Sus scrofa: one gene and its partners. The protein of the gene in region 1 purifies or fractionates together with the protein of each later gene. This does not show direct contact. Links are inferred from orthologs where the notes say so. Each region holds a gene or a part of one and is shown in the gene's direction. Other genes may lie near its edges.

Evidence for each region.
Region 2: the proteins of SIN3A (region 1) and BRMS1L purify together in Homo sapiens (affinity purification with mass spectrometry; 3 studies listed by BioGRID, with this or other methods). This does not show direct contact. The link is inferred for Sus scrofa from reciprocal best matches to the Homo sapiens genes SIN3A and BRMS1L.
Region 3: the proteins of SIN3A (region 1) and ARID4A purify together in Homo sapiens (affinity purification with western blotting; 6 studies listed by BioGRID and IntAct, with this or other methods). This does not show direct contact. The link is inferred for Sus scrofa from reciprocal best matches to the Homo sapiens genes SIN3A and ARID4A.

The regions. Positions count from the first base shown.
Region 1 is NC_010449.5:58,240,596-58,245,388, forward strand, and holds part of SIN3A (paired amphipathic helix protein Sin3a), read left to right. Parts: intron 1-2,227; coding exon 2,228-2,435; intron 2,436-4,087; coding exon 4,088-4,318; 3' UTR 4,319-4,793. UniProt on the Homo sapiens protein: Acts as a transcriptional repressor. Corepressor for REST. Interacts with MXI1 to repress MYC responsive genes and antagonize MYC oncogenic activities. Also interacts with MXD1-MAX heterodimers to repress transcription by tethering SIN3A to DNA.
Region 2 is NC_010449.5:64,120,563-64,125,824, reverse strand, and holds the start of BRMS1L (breast cancer metastasis-suppressor 1-like protein), read left to right. Parts: upstream 1-1,972; 5' UTR 1,973-2,196; coding exon 2,197-2,338; intron 2,339-5,262. UniProt on the Homo sapiens protein: Involved in the histone deacetylase (HDAC1)-dependent transcriptional repression activity. When overexpressed in lung cancer cell line that lacks p53/TP53 expression, inhibits cell growth.
Region 3 is NC_010443.5:187,383,330-187,388,643, forward strand, and holds the start of ARID4A (AT-rich interactive domain-containing protein 4A), read left to right. Parts: upstream 1-2,024; 5' UTR 2,025-2,205; intron 2,206-3,291; 5' UTR 3,292-3,342; coding exon 3,343-3,348; intron 3,349-5,314.

The DNA.
Region 1 (4,793 bases):
CAGCATATTAAAAAGATGTGAACTGGAGTTCGCTGTGGCTCCATGGTAACGAACCCAAACAGTATCCATGAGGACTCGGGTTCAATCCCTGGCCTCACTCAGTGGGTTAAGGAGCTGGTGTTGCTGTGAGCTGTGCTGTAGGTTGCAGACTCGGCTCAGGTCCTGTGTTGCTGTGGCATAGGCCAGCAATTGCAGCTGCTGTTTGACCCCTAGCGTGGGAACTTCCATTGCCACAGGTGCAGCCCTAAAAAGACAAACAAACACAAATAAAAAGATGTGACCTGGAGTTCCCGTCGTGGCGCAGTGGTTAACAAATCCGACTAGGAACCATGAGGTTGCGGGTTCAGTCCCTGCCCTTGCTCAGTGGGTTAACGATCCAGTGTTAAGAAAAAAAAAAAAACGATCCAGTGTTGCCGTGAGCTGTGGTGTAGGTTGCAGACGCGGCTCGGATCCCGCGTTGCTGTGGCTCTGGCGTAGGCCGGTGGCTACAGCTCCGATTCAACCCCTAGCCTGGGAACCTCCGTATGCCGCGGGAGTGGCCCAAGAAATAGCAACAACAACAACAAAAGACCAAAAAAAAAAAAAAAGATGTGAACTAAGGGCCTAGGGTTTAATTTTTTTTTTTTTTTTTTTTAAGTTACTGCTTCATCAAAGACATTCTTAAGTCAGACCATCTTTCCTTTTTTGTCAGTGCATAGCCAGAGAAGAGTACCAAGACATCTTAAGAATGGGTTGGTGCCACCACCAGCTTTTTTTCCTTTTTCTTTTTATAATCATTGTTATTTTTGCACTGTCCTTACTAATGTTAACATGGTTAAAAAAAAAATGTTTTTGTATTATTATGAAAATAGTTTTGATCTCACAAACCTCCTGGAAAAGGATCTTGGGGGCCTCTAAGAATCTTTGGACCAAAGAACTGCTGTCCTGTGGAAATGTGTGTGTCCAAAAATATTCACTGAAGCAGTGTTTTTAATAGCAAGGTGTAGGAAACAATATAATTGTCTAGATGACAACCTTTCTCTGCTTGTTGGAGGGAATTAAGCTCTAAATAACTGCCAAGGCATCCACTGATGTGAATTATCTTCTTTCCTACACATGTAAAACAGCTTTAGTTATGTGCCATCTTTGGGAGAATTGAAAAAAAATAGACATTTAAATAGTTTCCTGTGCCCTGTGGTTCACATGAAGAACCCTGATTGATTCCCATTAAGGAATGGTAATTATATATGCTGCAGGTACGGCCCAAAAAAGACCAAAGTAAAAAAAAAGGAATGATAATTGAGACACATTCCTCTGTAGCAGTTAAAGAGAATGACACCAGGAGTTCCCACTGTGTCGCAGTAGGTTATGACTCCAACTGCAGTGAGTTAGGTCGCTGCTGAGGCGCTGTGCAGGCACAGGTTTGATCCCTGGGCTAGCCTAGTCTAGCACAGTGGGTTAAAGGATCCTACGTTGTCACAGCCATGGCTCAGACTCAGTCCCTGGCCTGAGAACTTCCATATACTGTGGTACACCCATTAAAAAAAAAAAGAGGGAGAACGACACAAATCTATATGTAGTGAAATGAAAAAATCTTCATGACATTAAGTGAAAGATAGATTGCGACCTAGAATATTTTAAATCAAAACTGCTAACAGTGGTTTCTTCTGCCAAGGCAAGTGGAATTTTGAGAACTGCATATGGCAGGTCCCAGGCAGGGCATCCAGGCCAGGGATGAAACTTGCATCCTCATGGATACTAGTCGGGTTTGTTACCACTTAGCCATGACAGGAACTCTGGCAATTTCTACTTTTTATTCTTTGTATCCCTGCAGTTGAAATATATACATATATATTTTTTTGGCAATGAAGCCATTGAATGTTTTAAAAATGTATGTAGGGAGTTCCTTTTGTGGTTCAGCAGGTTAAAAACCCGACTAGAATCCATGAAGATTTGGGCCTCACTCAGTGGGTTAAGGATCCAGTGTTACCATGAGCTGTGGTGTAAGTCGCAGATGTGGCTGGGATCCGGTGTTGCTATGGCTCTGATTTGACCCCTCACCTGGGAACTTCCATGTGCTGAAGTTGTGGCCCTAAAAATTTAAAAAAAAAAAATGTGATTAATATTATGATAAGTACTGTGAAGGTATATGATAAGGAAAGCTCCCTTTGGGGGAGGGAGGGGCCGGCAGCCATGGGACTCTACATCTGGACAAGCTATCATCCTGCCAGTCTCTTCTGCATTATAGGAATCTGCGGCGGATCCGGAAGTGTCAGCGTGGTCGAGAGCAGCAGGAAAAGGAAGGGAAGGAAGGAAACAGCAAGAAAACCATGGAGAATGCGGATAGCTTGGATAAGCTGGAGTGTAGATTCAAGCTGAATTCGTATAAGATGGTGTATGTGATCAAGTCAGAGGACTACATGTATCGGAGGACCGCCTTGCTCCGGGCTCATCAGGTGAGAACCGTAACTGGAATTTTGACCACACTTCTCCCTCCCCAGCCAGGACCACACCCGCCCAAGATAACATCTGGTGGCATCTTCCAGTGAAGCTACTCATTTGTTCAAGTAGCAATTGCTTTTATGAATCCTGTTTTCACATGCTGCCTCAATTGTGAAGGTTATGTGCAGTTATGTAGTAGGTACTGTGCCGGGTCTTTGGGCTACAACCACAAGGTAGAGCATATAAGTGATGATGCACATTACCAAGGAAAGAAGGTAGGTGACATGATCACGGGTAACTGCCAGGCAGGGCCCTGCTTTTTTGGGGGGAAGATCTCTCTTAAGGAGGTGATACTTGAAGCCTGAACAGTGACCAGGGTCCAGCCTGGTGCAGGGTTGGGGATTGGTACTTTTTGGGCAAAGGAAACAAGCAAGTGCAAGGTTGGGAGAGAGGAAAGGACTTGGCTTGTCTAAGAAACTAAAAGCATCAGTGTGCCTTGAGCTATAGGAAAGTGGGATGCATAAAGTTGGAAGGGTAGGCAGAGGCCACAGGACTTGGTCTCATAGGCCATGGTTTGGATTTTGTTGGAAGTACATGAAGTTGGAAGGGCAAAGACCACTTGAAAGACTACTCTCGTCCAGATGAGATGTGATGGTTACTTATGCTCTGGGGGTGGCAGTGAAATTATAAAAATTAGATTGGAGCTGTAATTGTCAGGATATAGTAACCATTGGATGTAGGCAAGTTAAGAGAAAGGAGAACATTAAGGATGATACCAGATGATTTGGGTTTTGTTTCTTTGCTTATTTTGCTTGAGCAAATGGGGAGTTTTGTTAATAGGAAGGGGTTTCCAGGTTTGGGAAGCAGATCAAGCATGCTGTTTTGAACTAGTTAAGTTAGAAAGGACTATAAAACATTCAGGGGAGATTGTCGAGTGGGAGATTTAATGTACTTCTCTCATTGTGCTGTGTGTTGTATGTCTGCATGTCTCTGATTCAAATGATTTGTAGAGTTGGGCCACACCTTATTTATCTTTGTATCCCCTACACTGATGGGGATGCATTCATGGGCACCGATAAATATTTACCAGATGAATGAATAGGAAGGAAAACCTCCCCTGAAGACCTGTTATGCCCAGCACGTTGCTGGGCAGGGTGGGGTAATAGTGGGAAGAGGGAGTGGGTTTGAAGCCCTTTGCCTTGCAGCTGTTTTACATAGAAGTGGATTGCCATGCTGACAGAAATAACCTCAACTCGTTGTCTCACTCTCGGTACAGAGCTGGCTTGCTGGTTTAGAAATGTAAATTGATGGAAACAAGAAACTCTACCTATTTTTATCAAGTCTGTCTTGACCCCACTGTCCCTGTTCCACAGGTGATACTGATGGATGCTAAAATCGAGAAGCACTGAGCTAGTTCTGCCCAGACCCTGTGTTGGCATTTCTGAGGGCTTTATGAGTTCCAACTCGCTACATGTTTTAGGTCCTTAGTCTCTTTCAGTTATCTTCAAGTAGACTCCTGTTGCCCCCCACACACTCCTCTTTTTTTAAAACTTAACAGTGACCTGAGCCCACATCTTTCCCTTGCTACTTTAGGAGAAAATAGGGCTTTGTACTTCAGAGATTTCTGATGCTAGTTCATGTTATTTTTTTCCCTTCTATTTTGCAGTCCCATGAGCGTGTAAGCAAGCGGCTACATCAGAGGTTCCAGGCCTGGGTAGATAAATGGACCAAGGAGCATGTGCCCCGTGAAATGGCAGCGGAGACCAGCAAGTGGCTTATGGGCGAGGGGCTGGAGGGCCTGGTGCCCTGCACTACCACCTGTGACACAGAGACCCTGCACTTTGTGAGCATTAACAAGTACCGTGTCAAATATGGCACAGTGTTCAAAGCCCCATAACTGCAAAGCCAGAGCAGATAACTTGAGGGGAGGGTTGCGGGGGGGCATATGCCCTCCCACACACTGAAGAAACAAGGAAGATGCCTTTCAAGCCTCACTGGGCCTCTCTGGGACATGGCCACCTCATCTGTGTGTGGCTGGTGCAACCTGGCACCAAGTGGGCTACATATAAGGAACGTGGATACCTTACAAAGCCAGAGCTGGAACATTTCCCAGGGGTTTTGGGTATTAGCTTGCCCTGGAGAGGAAGGAAATCCACGCAAGCACAGAGACATGCAGTTTGCTTGCACACACCAGCAGAGCTAAGACTGGAGTCTCCTGGGGCCTGACCTTCGAAGAGGGAACCAGATGCTATTTACACCTTGACTGGATTGGCGAGCACTGACAGACTGGGGAAGGACTCATTGCTCAGATGGATTGTAACTCTTGATGATCACTGCTCCTTTCCTCTCCCTGCAAAAGGAAAAAAACTGGA
Region 2 (5,262 bases), about 5.9 Mb from region 1:
TACAGATGCTGGCCTACACCACAGCAACTCGAGGTCTGAGTTGTGTCTGTGACCTACACCATAGCTCATGGCAACACCAGATCCCGGACCCACTGATCGAGGCCTCAGATCTAACCTGCATCCTCATGGATTCTAGTTGGATTCGTTTCCACTGTGCCAGGAAGGGAACTCCTGACCATAAGTAAGCATGAATGAATTAATGCGAAGTGAGAGGAGCTCCTTTTGTAGCTCAGTGGATTAAGAACCCAACATAGTGTATGTGAGGTTGCGGATTTGATCCCTGGCATGGCTCAGTGGGTTAGGGATCCCATGTTGCCTCAAGCTCCAGCGTAGGTTGCAGATGCAGCTGGGATCCGGCAGCTGCAGCTCAGATTTGACTCCTAGCTTGGGAATTTCCATACGCTGCAGCTGTGACCATTATAAAGAGAGTGAAAGAAAAAGTGAGACTTAAAATGGATCTAAAGATAGTGTAAGCCCTACAAAATGTAAAGTGCTACATTAATGGAAGGCATCATTCCTACCTTTTTACTTTTTTTATTTTTTGTCATGCCTTCGGCCTGTGGAAGATCAAACCAGGGATCAAACCTGGGCCACAGCAGTAATCAGAGCCAAAGCAGTGACAATGCCAGATCCTTAACCCACTGAGCCATCAGGGAAATCCCAACTCCTACCTTTTAAAGGCTAGATTGAGGAAACTTCACTCAGCTTTCATGGTTTGCTTTATATTAATTTGTATTTTCCAAGCTGACAATATTCTTTTCCAGCCTTATTCATTTTTCCCCTTATGGTTTCTCTTACATTTGCTACACATCTTTTTAAAAATCTATTTGAGGAGGGGAGAGAGAAACTCCTTTTAAGCAAAACACCACCCTGTAACTCTAATTGCGCAATCTTATATTATTTTGTCTGCCTTAAACATAAATATAATGATGACAGGACTTTTAGAGCTGGAAGAGAACTTAGCAATAACATAATGCAACCTTCTTGTTTTACCACTGATGAGATATTATGTGATTTGCCCAAATGAATTGCCTGGTTATCAGTAGAACTAGGGCTAGAATCCATACCTCCTCTCCAGCTTCCTTCTGTTTTTCTTTAAGCAGCAGAACAGAAAGCACTTGCTACAGGGGCACTGTGTGATGGTGGTTGGGTGTGGGCTCTGATGCTGGACTACTCAAGTTCAAACCTTAGCTTTGCTACTTATTAGTGGTGTGACTTTGGCCAAGTAATCTAACTTGGCGCTTCAGTTTCCTCATTTACAAAACGGAAGGCTAATTATATGTAGTTCATGGAGTTTTTATAAGGATTAAGTGAATTAATGTACTTAAAGCACATAACAGTGCTTGGCACATAAAGAGTGACCAGAGTGTATTTTTCATTGAAAACTTAAGACCGGTGGCATTTTCACGTTGCATATGGTAAAAAACGAATGCAAAAAATACTAGCTGAAAGTGCCATGATAAAAATTCCTTTCTTTCCATATTTTTGATTACAAAAGTCTCAAAAAACAATTGGAAGATTTTTGTGCAACATAGAAAGTGCAAGTTATCGTCAGCAGAAACTAATTTATTAATATTAGTTTATTAGTGGTAATAAATATGCTTAGGTAAAAACATTTCTCCAGTTCCCTCAGCCTCAAAGGGGAGGAAAAATCCTCGGGCAAAAGACCTTTTCACATCTGACAGTAACATTTTGGATAGCTTGGGCGCTCAGACAATCACTTGGCGGGAAAAGAATAAATAAAGACCAAATTCGCACAATCTGTTTTTGCTTAGTTTACAAACTCCGATCGAGTCTGGCAGCTTTCATGCCTTGTGGGACTTGAAGTCCAGAGAGGAGAAGCAAGCCGGGCCATTGAAGCTTGGAAGCCGGCTGCCCCTGCGGGTCTTGAACCACTAGGGACTACAACTCCCAACATACACCGCGAGGCCGCGCCGTAATTACTGGTAACCAACCGGACCCGAGCTACACAAGCCCCATCCCCCCGGCTAGGAGCACTGCCTCCACCAATGGCAGAGCTCCCAGCGCAGAGCCTGCGGGTTAGGTTGTGAGGCTCGGGCCGGGGGCGGGGAGGAGCCGAGGGGTTTCAGAACGAGCTCCGCCGCTGGGTGGGTCGGGGCGTTCCGCGCGCCCTTCACTGAAGCGGCGGTGGCCGGGCTGGGCACTGGGAGTGGGAAGCGACGGCGCGGCTGGAAAATGCCAGTCCATTCTCGAGGGGATAAGAAGGAGACGAACCATCACGATGAGATGGAGGTGGACTACGCCGAAAACGAGGGGAGCAGCTCTGAGGACGAGGACACCGAGAGCTCGTCGGTCTCTGAGGATGGAGATAGCTCAGGTACGCGACCCAGCAGAGCTGGGACCCCAAGTCCTCGAGCCAGACTAGCGCCAGGCCGCTCTCTGCACGCCGGCAGCTGCGTCCTGCTGGGAGAGCGGGGCGGGGAGAGAGGGAAGGGGCGGAGACTCACTCCCGGCCCTCGGTAGCACCGGGACTGTTCGCCGGGCGCTGCCTGTGCTCCTGGCGGATCCCGGTTGGCGGGGCGGGGCGGGGCGGGGCGGGGCTGGGCAGGGCGCGAGCCTGGACTCGCCGCACTTCTGGACGCCGCGCGGACCTGCCCACGGTCCGCCCCGCCCTTGGGACCTCCGGGCTGTGCCCGGAGCCGTCCGGAGCGAGGACTGTCCCGCATCCTGTCTGGGAGACTCTGGAAATGCCTCCTCTCCTCAGACCACCCACTTCTTATTTTACACCTTTGCAACCTTTACTTCGCAACGTGGGTGGGTTGTCTGAGCCAAGGGTAGATTTGTATTGGCTCCTGGCCGGTTTAGAATTTATTAATCTCAGCTTCCAAGTCAACGTGTCAGTCAGTACTTGACATCGGTGCTCTTTCGGGGGGCTGACGTGGGAGCGGTACCGTTTGCAGCATCTCTCTGAACTTTTCAAGACTGAGAGGAGCCCAACATCATGGATGATAGTTTTTGCACCCTTTTAGGAATTATTATTTTAAAAACAAATGGAATTTGTGATTACTTGGATTCTTTTTTTCTGTCCATATAATGAATGTGAGACATTATTTTTTGTCTTGGTCTGATTTTGGCCATGTAAAGCAAGAATTGATGACAGATTGATGACAGTGTGTTGTCATCTCTACACCCTCTTTTCAGGTTTCCTTTCAAAGAACCTCCGTGGAAGAATGTACTGCAGTCAATAAATCAACCAACCCCAAATAAGTGTTTATAAGTGACTTCTTCGTGCAATTCTGGGTTCTACTCAGTGTGAGGTATAAATAGTTACGATCTGACTTCAATTAAAGATCTTTCATAGGTCACCACTTCCTTAAATTGCCAATTGAATGCTTAACTGTAAACAATACTGTAGGAATTCAGAGGCAGAGGAAATCTTTTCACTGTGGAATGGTTAGCAAAGGCTAGTTGAAGGTGGAATTACCTAAGTTATCTTGAAGAATGGGTAGAATTTGAATTGGAGTTAGTGTTCAGGTGTTTCTATAAGGGGAGGAATGTAGGAAAAAGTGCCAGCGCCGGAACTTAAAGCTTATTCAAAAGAGTGAGAAAATCTGGTTGACTGGGAGAAGAATCTGAACTATAAAAAGAGAAGATATAGATGTGAAAGATTTAAAAAAAAAAAAAAAAAGCAGGAAGCAGGGTTGATGACAAGTTTAGGAGTGAAAGTAAGAAAAAAAAAAAAATCTCTGGGGTAGCATGAACAGAAATAGAAAAGTAGAATCCGACTAGGAAACATGAGGTTTCAGGTTCGATCCCTGGCCTCCCTCAGTAGGTTACAGATCCATCGTTGCCATGAGCTGTGGTGTAGGTAGCAGACATGGCTCAGATCCTGAGTTGCTGTGGCTCTGGCATAGGATGGCAGCAATAGCTGGGATGAGACCCCTAGCCTGGGAACCTCCACATGCCGTGGTGTGGCCCTAGAAAAAGGCAAAAAGACAAAAAAAAAAAAAAAAAAAAAGAAAGAAATAGAAAAGTAAAAGATTTGTGATGAAAGTAGAAGGTAGAGTATTACAGACATCTTGTTTTTGAGGTCATGGTGGTATAAAGCCAGAGTGCCCCAAACTGACAGGTGGAAATATGGCATTAAAACCTGCCTGGGATGGGAAGCACAGTTAGGAAGTCATCAGCCTAGTCATGAAAAAAGGTGAAATGTCAAAAGTGAAGAATACAGAGAAAAAAGCGAAATGCCAAAAGTGAAGAATACGGAGAAAGAACATCTAGACTGTATGTGAATGTATTTCCGAGATCTGTGAAACATTTTATCTTTAAGTGTTTATTTATTTATTTTTTAACGGGAGCTAGGAGCTTGCAAAATGACATTTACTAAAATTTTGCCTCTCTGATTTTTATGTTGACCTTTATGATTTTTCACTGTTTTTTATCCTCAGAAAATAATGGACAACCTAATTTGTGAAGAATGTAATAATAATTTGAACTAAAAGTCAGATCTTTTAAGTGCAAAGAAATTATTTGAATATATTTTGCAGTTTTGCATCTTGCGAAAGCATCTCTTTTCTCCCATGTATCTTACATGTTAAAATTCCACAGTTTGGAGTTCCCATTGTAGGTCAGCAGAAATGAATCTGACTTGTATCCATGGGGACACAGGTTCGATCCCTGGCCTCGCTCAATGGGTTAAGGATCCTGCATTGGCATGAGTTGTGGTGCAGGCCTGCGACTATAGCTTTGATTTGACCCCTAGCCTGGGAACCTCCATATGCTGTGGATGCAGCCCTGGGAAAAAAAAAAAAGTTTCCAGTTTTATTCTTCTCCAGCCTTGGTCCTGGGCAGGTGCTAAGGCTACAGGACAACTGTACTATCCAGAGATATTTTGGAGTGAGTCATCCTGAGGGACCAAATTTTAAATAGCCAAGAAATAAGCTATTAAGAGCCAGAAATAATTTTAATCTGTTTCAGAAAAGTTAAAAAGATCGTATACTTCCTTGCTATAGGAAAATAACTTAATTCTTTCTGATAGTTTGACCTTTATTGGATGAGGATCAATATGCAGATCATTTTGTGCTTCAGTTACTCTGATGTGACAACTATATGTGATATAAAAATAGAAGATAAGAAATATGAGAGGTGATAACTAGCAGTTGCTTTCCTTGAAAATTTTCTTGTTTTTCTCTTCATTTTTCTCTTTCTCACTGACTGACAGTAATTTTGGGAGAGGGAGCAATAGGAATCTAAGAGTAGGAGAGCAAGATATTCTGTGGTGAAGATAATAAGATTAGTTTT
Region 3 (5,314 bases), on another chromosome or scaffold:
AGGGGAAGTTGAGCAGTTTTATATGTTTTATAATTTCTTTACCAAAAAAAAAAAAAAAATCACTTCTCAACTCTTACTGAAATATCTTTTCTATATGCCAAAATTTTAAATATGGAGGAAAAAAATCATGAAAATGTTCACACTGTTTCTTGATAAAAATATGAAGCACTTAAAAAATCCAGAAATGGGAAAGGCATAATTGAGTAAACAGACTCATAAGTATGTCCTAATCTGGGGACTTCATTCTAAAGTATCACATCAGGAAGCTAGTTATACAGACTTATTTGAACCTTTGACCAAACAAACACTTTTCAACTACCATTTTTTCATTTTGCTATTTATGGTTCTACTTACTGGTCCACAGAAAAACTTTTTCAGGCAGGCTCACCTCAGTAATACTTTCGGGTATTTGTCACTGAACTGTCCTGTTTTCTTCTGACCAACTGCCAAAAAAAAAATCTCAATAAATTATTAAATCATTCAATCATTTTCTAGTCTGGAGCCCCATGAATAAGAGGGTTCAAATCAAGAATATTATGAAGATAATTTTATGCAGTTATTTAGATCAGTGTGACAAGGTCATTCGATAGAAAAACTAACATGCATTTATTTTAACTAAGAAATTACTTTTCTAGTAATTCTAAGAAAAGGCACTATTGTGAATGAAAAATTGACTCAATTAAGATATTCTCCTAACGAGTAAATGTAGTCAATGTGGACTACCATTGATTTTTACATATTTAATTATTTCATTCTTTAACTCAACTTGCTAATTAATACTTTATTTCCACAATTTCAAATGTAATTTTGTTCTATTGAAAACAACACAAGATCACAACAAGCTCAACGGCTGCCTTGAACAAAGTCCTACCGGGGAGGACCTTTCCTCTAAGGAGTGATGATAAGGGTTAGGTCAGGAGTTTTCAGTCCCTGTATTTCCTCCCCCAAAGTAGTATAAGGCTCCAGAAGGGTGGCACAGCTGCACGTCTAAAGTAGCAGGGCTGCTGCCAAGAGAATTCCTCAGCGCCCCAAACCCAGTTTCCTTATTGCCTCATCGCGGGAGGAGCACGCGGAAACACCTCTCCCCAGGTAGGGAGGGTCTAAGAACCTTACCTTCCCCGTCTTCCTGAAAAAGGAGCCTATAACTGGTGACACTCGATCACAGAGTATGACAAGCTGCCGAAACCCACTTCCAAAGAAGGGAAGTACTGCTCCCAGAGAAGAGGAGCCCAAAGGATCGGCCAGGAAAAAAAGACCAGCTCGTCTCCTCCGCCTCTTTCTCTTTGGCAGCGGGAGAGGAAGCCTCGCCCCCTCTCAACCCGCCTCCCGGCTCCCCTCCCCGCCGCAGGGAGAACATACCCGGCCATGGCTGCCGCGCGGCCCCCTCACTTCCGGTGCCGGTGCCTCCAATGCTGCGCCATCCCCCAGCCCACCGGACAACCACAGCTTCGAACTGACCTTTCCGGCAGATCGCGACTCTTCCAACGTTCACTAGGTTTTGTCCTGGAGAGAACGGTGGATGGGTGCCGCAGAAAAACGAATCTACAGACTAAAGAATCCGCTCTCGTCTGGCCAGAAACATAAAAAGCGATAGAGCTGCAGCCACCGCTGCCCAGACAAAATGGCGCCGACAAGCTGGTTCGGCGCAGGCGTCTTGGAAAGACCTGCCCCGCCCCCGTGCAAGTCCTGGGCGCAGCGCCGGGTTCGGTTTCCATGGGACACCCCACCGCCAATCCTCGTGCCGAACTGCTCTTCCTGACCCCCCCAATTGACCAATCAGTGCTCAGTCAAGCACATCCGGAGTCCTCTTTACCAATCATTTCTCAGGATTTACTAACTCAATACCTGATTCTCCAGTAACGTTAGTCTTCGGAGACAGCCAATCATAAGTGGAAGATGTCCTACCTGCTATTTTTCGCACCAATCCGGGAAGTTTCAGAGCTACATCCAATGAGGACGGCAGGTAGCGAGCTCCAATCCGAAACTCTTCGGCGTCATGAGCAGCCAATAGGAGTTCGTGTAGAAGCGAGACTGCTCAACAGCTTGTTATTTGGTGGATTGTGGCAGTAAATCGGGCGAGTAGGGAACCGGGCGCAGGAACTGCCGCGGCGGCCGAGAGTGGTGCTGCCCGGACGGGGGCCCACGGGGGTCAGTGGGGCGGAGGACTCGGGAGCTGACAGCGCCCACTTCACCCTCAGTTGGTAGGTGGGGAGAAGGGAAGCGGGCGATACTGAATGGACGAAGCGGTACTAGCAGCTGGTGCTGCTGCCCGGGGTCCCGGTACAGTTGGAAGCTTTGGAGGTGGGGAGGGGGATGCTTGGCAAGCGGGGCGACAAGCGCAGGAGAAGGGGCAGTTCGTGGAGCAGCGGCAGCAACTGCAGGAACAGCCGCTGCAGCTGCCTCCCCGGCCGCTTCCCCGGGTTCCCCGGGAAAATGGCTGTGGGGCTGGCCGCGCCGCTAAGTTTGCTTCCGCGCGGCGAGAAGCTGGCTGCTTGGGGGAGCCGGCCTCTAACTCCGCGGCGCGTCCTCCCCCCTGGAGTCCGTGGCAGGACCCGAGGGGCTGGGGGCTGGTACCGCTCTGGGCTGTACAAAAAGTTGAGGCGGGCGCGGGGAGGAGGCGGCGGCTGCTGCCGTTCGGCTCCCCTCCCCTCCCACACCCTGTCCGGGCCACCTCCCCTCCTCCTCTCCGCCCCCCCAGCCCCCTCCCCCTCGCGGGTCTTCCCTTCCTCGCGCGCCTCCAAGCTGAAGGCCGCGGCCCCTGCCCCTTGGGGTGAAGAAGCGCTTCTCCTTCCTGACATGGTGCAGAGCGGAGGAAGGAGAGCAATGGCGCCGTGACACTCCGCTGCCGCCACCGCGGGCCCGGGGCGGGCCGAGGGGGCCGAGCTGCGGAGGCGGGGCGCGGGCCGAAGTCGGGGTATCCGGGGGCGGCCGGGAGGAGGCTCGGCGACCGCGCCTGCAGGGGACCTGGGGAAGCCCCAACGGCGCCCTGCCCTTCTCCGGAGCGTGCCGTCCTGGGGCTCTGAGTTGAGCATTCCGGGTCAAAGTGGCGAGCGAGGCGGGGGCGCGGTGGGCCGCTGGCGAACTCTGAGGCGGAACCGCTGCCCTTTGGCGCCCGTGGGGTTCTCGCCGCCCCTCCGGCTCCTGCGTCCTGGCTGCCCTCGGAGGGGCTCTTTCGCCCTCCCTGGTGAGGGTTCTGCCCCTCCCCGCAGGCGTTTGTTTACTTTCTTTCCCCGAGTCGCTCCCCTCTGTTGACTGATTCTGTGCTCGTCTTTCCCCTCCCCTTGGTTCCAGCGGTAGAGAAGATAGCTCGTTGAGCTGGAACCCCACAGATCACCAGTAAAAATGAAGGTAAGTGGAGTCGACGCTGCTCGGAACCTCGTGCCCTGGACACTGCCTGTCGTGAGGCTAGAGCTGTGGAATGTCATTTTTCTTTTCTTTATTTTTTTCTACTCAAAATTGATTACTAAGCTGCGCTTTCTGAAAATGAAGACATGTTGAATTGGGTGAGAAATGATCATTGTGTCTAAATGCGGTCAGTTCGTCCCCTCTCCGAAGCAGTTAGCACTTTGGAAAGGCTGGTGCAGCCTTTCCATTGTTGTCCATTGGGCTAGTATTTTTAAACACTTCCTGTGTTGGCAGCAACCTTTGCAGAAGTAAAGCTTCTGTCCTGCTTTGGTTGTTTGGGGGATTTTTTGAAATTTGTTTTTTTCTTCTCCAGTGCCAATGCGATTTTCTAAGGATGGAACATGTGGATTGTGTCAGGGAGATAGCATTTCTTCTGGGGATAAGGTGAAATTCCGTGGCTAAAATATTTGAAAATGAACTAATACTAAGTATTATTATATATTATAATTATTATAATTACTAATACTTAATTTTAGTTCAGTCTTTATAGTATTTAAACATATTCAAACTAAAATAAAAGTCTTCAGAAGACAATTAATATTGGAAATAATATTGCAAACATCATATGTGATGTTTAAAGGTAAAGAAGTTATAGCATCCTGCAATTCTGTGGCCTTGAATGTTTCGGTCATCTACTTATTTGCCAAAAGTATTTCTCTTTAATTTGCCCTAGTTGTAAATGCACTAACTTTAAAAGATACTTTATTCCTTACTCATTAACTTTCAGTGTATTAAGCTCTGAAACAGTATTTTCCCAAACTTTTTCTTGTGTTCTTTTCTCCTTGAAGGAGATGTATCTCTTTGACACATGTATCTTCTTTAATGTTAGTTGAGAAAACTTACTGGAAAATGAAAAATCATTTTCTACTTAAAAATATTTCTCTATAGACTTTCACGTTTGTACTTAGAAGTGTTGAATTGAGCTTGAGTACATGTAACTTTTAAAAAAAATGACAGATTGAGATAGCAATCATTTTGTTACTGTCAAGATTAAAATGAATGGTGGAGTGAAATTTCTCACACCTTTCAGTGTATCATTCTGATCATGACCATTTGCTAAAAATAGACATTTCTTTGTGAAGCTTTTTTTTTTTTTTTAAATACCAAGATTAGTGTGATGAATCTTGTAGGTACAGCTACAAGTCTTGAGGCATCAGTTCATATCTTAACCCTTTAAAATGTAGCTTTTAGCCAGTGATTTTTCTAAATTATGCTCTGCTTATCAAAAGGGTTGTCTTCGTTTCCTAGCCATACATTTATTGTGTATCCAAAAAGATGTTGCCTTTATGTAGCTATAATAACACTTAATCATGATGTATTGTTAGTGTTAATTGGAATAGCAGTATTTCTTTTCATTTGAAAACAAAATTTTCAGGAGTCCATTGACTGAATAACTTAAAGTTTTATGAGACACTTACTATGAATATACCTTTTCTGGATTTTTAAATTTTTTTGGATTTTTAATTTAAAATTTTTTGGATTTTTTTTTGGAGTTCTCATCATGGCTCAGTAGTTAATGAATCCGACTAGGAACCATGAGGTTCTGGGTTCGATCCCTGACCTTGCTCAGTGGGTTAAGGATCCGGCATTGCCATGAGCTGTGGTGTAGGTTGCAGACGCAGCTCAGATCCCGCGTTGCTGTGGCTCTGGTGTAGGCAGGCAGCAACAGCTCCAAATTTTTAGACCCCTAGCCTGGGAACCTCCATATGCCGCTGGTGAGGTCCTAGAAAGGGCAAAAAGACAAAAAAAATTTTTTGGATTTTTAAGTTAAAATTTCTTAAAATCTGTCTGTTATAGAATTGTTGACTCATTTTGTACCTGGAGGGAAAAAAATTATATATTCCTACTGATACTTTCTAGTTACAATTTCAAATGTTTTATGTTATGAGGATATAGTTTATAAAGCAAA